Linked DNA regions of Cricetulus griseus. The protein of the gene in region 2 binds, or shares a complex with, the protein of the main gene of each other region. Links are inferred from orthologs where the notes say so. Each region holds a gene or a part of one and is shown on either strand. Other genes may lie near its edges. The genes, in order: Sln and Atp2a1.

Region 1 (2,798 bases), on a different chromosome or scaffold from region 2:
CAGGAGTTTTAAAATTTATTTTGATTGTATAAACCAAGCATCTGTTTCACTACTTCACCAAAATTAGTAATCTGATTGATAACATTGCCTATGATCTTGGAGTAGACTTTCCTGCACGTACAATCTGTATGCATGCTAAAGATACCATCTCTGCTGTCTGAAATGTTTACAATCTAGGCACATCCTGAGCTTGACTAAAAATAGCTGGCACAAGCTCTTGTTGAAACAGAAATGCTCATGAGGTTAACACTTGTTCTTTGGATTGAGTACCTGTTGTGCGAGGGACTTCTAGTTGACCTCTACAGGCTTTGTGCCAGAGTAGGCTTGTACAAAGCCATGCAGCTGTTGGAGCTACTTTATTCTTTCACCAGGGTTGGATGAAGACCTAGGGCAGTTTTAAATCTGAACGATGATGTTATATGTGATCCAAAGAAAGAGCAATACTAAACTATATTTTTCCCCTGTTTTGGTGTCCCTGCTTGCAGATACTCCAAACAGCAAAGTTAACACATGACATGAAGATGAAGAGAGAAAAATGCAATATTTTATTACTTACCTAAAACAATGCAATTAATACAGGATAAAAACATTGGTCTTAGGATGACAGCAGGAAGAGAAACTAGGCTATTTGTATGCATCCATGCTCTTCAGAGAAGCCCAGATAACTCTGTCTGTCTGTCTGTCTGTGTATGTTTGAGAAATTGATTCATATCATTTGAAGGTTGGCAAGTTCAAAATACTCAAGGTAAGTTGCCAGGCTGTAGCCTCAGAGAGGAGTGGAAACTTAACTTCAAATGAAATCTGAGGTCACATGTTGGGGACCAGGGTATCAGCAAGGCTGGTTCCTTCAAGGCTTTTCTCCTTGGACTGAGAATGGCCATCATTTCTGTTTCTGCAATGTCTTCCCTCTGTAATGGGTCTGTGTCCTAACCTCCTCTCCTTCAGACATCAGTCATACTGAATTAGTGCCCACTAGTAACTGATCTAGTTTGCTTCTCTTCCCGTGGTAAAACACTGACCAAAAACAACTTGAGGTGAAAGGGTTATTTGTAACTTACAGGTATAGTCCATCCTGGAGGAAAGCCACAGCAGTGTCTCAGGGCAGGAACTCGGAGGCAGCAAGTGGAGCAGAGACTGTGCTGGTTATTGACTTGCTTCCTCTGGCTTGCTCAATTACCTTTCAGTTTTACCTTATGTTTTCTTTTTAAAGATTTATTTTTATTGTTTAATATTTATTCTTATTATTTTAATTATATGCATTTGTTTGTGTGTGGGGGGGGTATGTGTACATAAATGTAGGTGCCCAAGGAGATCAGAGGCATCAGATCTCACCAGAGCTAGACTTCTAGGCAGTTGTGAGCCTCCTAAAATGGGAGGAATTATTCAGTTGAGGTCCTTTTCCCCAGCTGGTTCTAGGTTTATATCAAGTTGATGCTGAAGCTAACTATGACAGTGACCGCATATTAGCTTAATTACCTCTGGGAAGACCTCATCTCTAAACACAGTCACATTCTTAGGTCTTGGGGAATAGGATTTCAATGTGTAAGTTTGGGGGGAAGGGTTGGAGAAGTCAGCACAAATACTTCATTTTTCTCTGAAGGAAGACTGGACAGCTTCCGGGCACGCTCACTTATCTCCCATGTTGTCTTTCTTATTTTGTTAGGAAGCAAGGACAAGCCGGAGGTTCTTGGTGTGCTCTCAGAAGTCTGCCTGGAGTTCTCACTCAGAAGATGGAGCGGTCTACCCAGGAGCTATTTCTCAACTTCACAGTTGTCCTGATCACCGTTCTCCTTATGTGGCTTCTCGTGAGGTCCTACCAATACTGAGGGGCCATGCTGCACTTCTGGGAGTGACTGCTGTGTGCCCCGAGCTTCCACTGCTGTTACTGTCATGGGATGCTATTCTTGGTACCACACCATCTCTGACCCGCACTCACGATGCCTGACACTGTTGTGTGTTTTCTAAAGATGCTGTCCTTGTGGGCTGCCAAAAGCTTGTTAGCCAGTGAGCCTTAGGCTTGTTCCCTAGTAAATGCACGATTCAGGCCACCAGGTTAAAATTAAACTGTATTCCTGATGATGCAGAGCAACAACAATGTCTGGTCTGTGTCAACACACATCCCCCAACCCACCCTGTCTGCCACCGAACTAACTCAACCCTTCAGAAGAAATGTACACGGAAGTCTTTGCCAGTCCCTTGAGTTCTCATGTGAATAAAGTTAAGCCACTCATGAAAACGGCTTTTAGAATTTATTTTAGCTCCTGTGTGACCCTTGGCTGGGACTGAAGTGACAAATAGCACATTATTTCTAGCATTTGAGATTAGCCAGGATGCTCCAGCTGCCTAGGATCTGAAAGCAAGACAAGCCAGGGTGTCCCATTTCAAATGATTCCATTGCTTCTCAAACCTTTCCTCTGCTAATCCTACGGCCAGAGGGAGAATGACTACAGCCTGCTAGAGTCTTGGGTCAGAGCCTAGAGTGCCTGCTAAAAGCATAGAATTCCTCTTAAGTCTTGTGCTTTCCCCCATAGCTTTCACAAGAAATGGGCTCAGGAGGTGATTCACTCAGTAAAGCCCTTACTTTGTAAGTTCAAGGGCCTGAGTTTAGACTCTCAAGAGCCATGTGAAAGCCCAGGACAGTGGTGTGAGCTTGTAATTCCAGGTATGGGAAGATAGGAGGCAGAGACAGCTAAGACAGGTCCTGGAAACTTTCTGGCTGGCCAGACTAGCCTACTTGACCAAGTTTCACACCACGAGGGACCCTCTAAAAACAGATGGGGAGGCACCTGAGGTATGAC
Region 2 (3,816 bases):
GGGTCCGTCTACTGCCTCAGGGACAGGACTAGCTGTTCCTATTGAGACTCTACTGGGGAGGGGTGCTGTGGCCTGAATGTCCTGGAGTGACCCCTGAGGAGTCTGGGAAGGAGAAGCAAAGACAACACCATCCTCACAGATAAAGAATCAGGGCTAATGGGCACCCTGCTCTCTTCTTGGCCTCAGACCCAAGTTTTCCCTCCTGGACCATCCATCCCAGCACTTACCGGCCACCTCCACAATATCCCCAGGGACAATGTCCCTAGCCTTGATTCTTTGCACTGACTTTCGGTCAGCCCGATAGACCTTCCCCATCTCAGGTTCATATTCTTTCAAAGCCTCAATGGCGTTCTCTGCATTCCGTTCCTGAGGAAAAAAGTGGAGTCAGAGAGAGAGGATGGTCCTGGTCCCGCAGGAGGCTGGTCTGGGTACATGCAGGAAGAGTAAGGGATGTGCAGACAGAGGAACCAGTATTATGATCCTAGCAGAAGTAAGGACATTGCAGAAAAGGCTGGCTTATCCAAGTCCAGCTGGCACAAAAGGTGCACAGAACCCCACATCACAGCAGGGGTGTGTCTGCTGTAGAATATATTGCCAGTGGCTAAAAACAAGTGAGAAAGGTTTGGACCAAGAGGAAAGGAATTTTAAAAAGAAAAAAAAAAAAAAACCGAGAGCAAGGGACAAGAAAAGTAAACTGATAATGTCAGAGGAAGAAGGAAATCAAAACTAGTTATTTATTTAGTACCTACTATGTGCCTTGAACTTTCATGTTCTTTTTCAATTGCATCAATCCTGAGAAACACAGTCATTGTTTTTCCTTTTCTTTTCTTTCCTATTTCTTTTTTAAATAGGGGCTCTCTATGTAGCCCTGCCTGGCCTGGAATTCTCAATGTACTCTCTACACCAGGCTAGCCTCAAACTCACAGAGGTCCACCAGTCTCTACCCCTGCAACTGTGGGAATAAAGGTGTGTGTCAATACATCTGACTCCATCCCCTTTCCTTTCTCCTCGTGGTGGGATTATTAGTATGTTCAACCTTGCATAGCTTTTGTTGGTGGTGGTGGGTTTTTTTGTTGTTTTTTTTTTAGGACAGAATTTTACATTGTAGTCCAGGCTAGCCTAGAATTTGAGAGTCTCTTGCTTCTGCCTCTGGAGTGCTGTAGGTGTGTCCCACCACACCTAGCTTTCTAGTCCTATGAGAAGACAGAGGAGTGGGGAAAGCTAGGGGAAATGATGAAGGAAGGGGAAATTGGAAGGCGGCTTGGCCCCTCGCCCAGTGTTGAGACACAAGTGGGGAGAAGGGGTCAAAACTAACCTGCCAAACCCCCACAATGGCATTGGCAATGAGGATCAAGAGGATGACAAAAGGTTCGACAAAGGCAGTGACAGTTTCTTCGCCTTCCTCAAACCAGGCCAGCACCTGAGAGGGGAAGGGAGAATAGCAGGTGGTAACAAAGCCCCCAAATGACTAAAGAAAGGAACTGGAAAGCTTCTTAAGACTGCTGCAGATGTCAGACGATGTATACAAGTGTGAGGTTCTTCACACTGCAGGCGCTGAGCACACAATACCCATTCATCCTTGTGATGGTGTGCAAATAGGCAGTACAGACACACACTTGAGGATTCACTGGGAATGCTTTCAGGTATCCCTGACCAAATTGTTGGCTTGTAAGCAAACCTGCCGGGAACACCCAGGGTCAACTACCCCTACAGCAACATCTATCCCCACAAGAACCCAAGCCCAACGGGAAAATCCCTATGGTCCCCAAAGAGCCCAGCCCACCCACAGCCCTCCCTTACCACCAAGGCATGGAAGCTCCAATTTCATGAGAGAACAGGAGGGGAGTAGGGTTACAGGCCTCCAGCACCCACCCCACCCCAGCTGTTGCCACTGCCAGGCAGCAGCCACAGGCAAATGTCAAGGAGCAAATCTGAGGAGAGAGAAGGGAGCTGCCAGCTTAGACTCAGAGTGCATGAGGCCTCCATAGATGCTTTATTTTTATTTATTTATTTATTTATTTATTTATTTGGCCTCTTAGACCTTATTTTCCAGCTAAGATGCTAAAGAAATTCTAAAATGTAAGACAGACTGCTGGGATGGTGGATGACAGGAGCCAGCAGCTGGGGCTGTGAACACTGGAGATGTAACAAGGAGATGGGATAGCTAAGGCTCTGAGGGGGCTGGGGACACTAAAAGGTAAGGATGATTCAGGCTGGATAAAGAGATGTAGGCACCAAGTGCCAGCCCCTAATGGAAGTAGGATGTAGTGAAGCCTGAAGACAGTTGAGGGGTGGGGTGTGGGGGTTGTAGAGACTGGAAGGCATCCTGGCAGCTACCACTGTACCAGTAGCACCTTCCCCACCTCTCTAAGCAAGTCTCTTTTGGCCAATCAGCATCACAGGCTGTAGAGGGTAGGGAAGGATTGGTGAAGCAAAGTGGGGACCAACCAGGACAGGCAAGGAGTGGTAGTGACCCCCAAGTGGACACATCGAAGCTGGGAGTCCTGTGCTTAGGGGGTAACCTGAGCCCTTGAAGCCCTTGAAGCTGGGAGGGTGGCTTAGCTTCAGTGTTTTGGCTGAGAACACTCTCAGGGCTTAAAATAAAACCTCTCTGCAGGGAGGGAAGCAAACCAGCACCCCACCCCCAGCTCCAGCATGGAAAATAGGGTGTTTAGGGCTTGGACCAGGGCATCAAGGATGGTAAGAGGCACAGCCAATCAATCACAAGTCCGACACCACTCTTCAGACAGCCCCCAGACTTACGAAGGAAATGCAGGCAGCCAGGAGAAGGATCCGCACCAGCAGGTCTTCAAACTGCTCTACCACCAACTCCCACAGGGACTTGCCTGGGGGAAGAGGCAAGAAGAGGAATTAAGATCCAAAAGATGAAGGTCTGTGGCTCTGGATGGGCTAGGGTCTAGAGTCTATAGAGTGCCCTGGACCTCTGGGTTAATGGGCAGCCCAGCTTGACATGAGAGAAAGAGATGAAACAGCCAAAAAGGCCCTTCAAATCTGTAGCAATTGTTCAAGGGTGGGAAGTTCCAAGGAAGAAACATCTGGAGATGTCTGACACCAAGCTCTGGGGAGGGGCATCTGGAGAAGGCAGGGAGCGGGGATGAACACACAGAAGTATCACTCAGGAGGGCTCAAGGCTCAGATAACTTACCTTCCTCAGCAGGGAGCTCTACCCAGGGAAAAAGAAGAAAAGGACAAATTTAGTAGGGGTCCAGCCTCATGTCTCCCACACCCTGAACTTTGCATCTAAGAGAATCAGCTATCAAAAGGGCATCTGAAGTTCAAGGTCACCTAGAAAACCTCCCCAAACTCCAGATCATAAAACTGTTTTCTTTAGTATCTTCCTTCTGCCCTACTTGTCCCTACAGACCCCAGAGGAAGCCGTTCCCACTAATGGGCATGGGAGGGCAGCCACACCAGCCTCTCCTCTAAGGGATACTTACCATTGGGGCCGTATTTTTCCAGATGCCGCTTAACTTGGTCTGGGGTAAGGCCTGTGGTCTCGCTCACCCCAAAATAGGACAAACATTCCTCTGTGGACTTGGAGTGTGCGGCCTCCATTGTGCTCCCTTCTTGGGGGCCAGGGGGGCGATGTATTCCTTCTTAGGGGCCTCTCACTGGAGGGGGGACTTCTTCAGTGTGTCCACCTGCCTGATGATCTAGGCTTCTTCCTTTTTCTTGCCTGCCCCCCCCAGATTCTTCTTCCTTCCACGAAGTTCTGACCCCAGTCCCACTTGCAGCAGCCGGCCACCCCCCCAGCCCCCAGCTGGTCCTTATGAGGGAGTGGGGGGGCCAGGCTCC

What was found.
Region 1: the proteins of Atp2a1 (region 2) and Sln are in contact, whole or in part, in a crystal structure (PDB 3W5A), measured with the Oryctolagus cuniculus proteins. The link is inferred for Cricetulus griseus from reciprocal best matches to the Homo sapiens genes ATP2A1 and SLN. Residues at the interface, in XP_069919846.1 of Oryctolagus cuniculus: Phe88, Val89, Leu96, Ala100, Ile103, Val104, Trp107, Arg110, Asn111, Asn114, Arg324, Lys328, Trp794, Leu797, Gly801, Leu802, Thr805, Ala806, Phe809, Trp932, Ser936, Leu939, Leu943, Leu946, Ile947, Val950, Pro952, Leu953, Ile956; in NP_001075856.1 of Oryctolagus cuniculus: Met1, Glu2, Arg3, Ser4, Thr5, Arg6, Glu7, Leu8, Leu10, Asn11, Phe12, Val14, Val15, Thr18, Val19, Leu21, Ile22, Trp23, Leu25, Val26, Tyr29.

What each region holds. Positions count from the first base shown.
Region 1 is NC_048597.1:165,582,195-165,584,992, forward strand, and holds Sln (sarcolipin), read left to right. Parts: upstream 1-1,667; 5' UTR 1,668-1,730; coding exon 1,731-1,826; 3' UTR 1,827-2,184; downstream 2,185-2,798. UniProt on the Homo sapiens protein: Reversibly inhibits the activity of ATP2A1/SERCA1 and ATP2A2/SERCA2 in sarcoplasmic reticulum by decreasing the apparent affinity of the ATPase for Ca(2+). Also inhibits the activity of ATP2A3/SERCA3.
Region 2 is NC_048596.1:74,326,771-74,330,586, reverse strand, and holds part of Atp2a1 (sarcoplasmic/endoplasmic reticulum calcium ATPase 1), read right to left. Parts: 5' UTR 3,577-3,816; coding exon 3,459-3,576; intron 3,185-3,458; coding exon 3,167-3,184; intron 2,847-3,166; coding exon 2,764-2,846; intron 1,421-2,763; coding exon 1,316-1,420; intron 367-1,315; coding exon 228-366; intron 1-227. UniProt on the Homo sapiens protein: Key regulator of striated muscle performance by acting as the major Ca(2+) ATPase responsible for the reuptake of cytosolic Ca(2+) into the sarcoplasmic reticulum.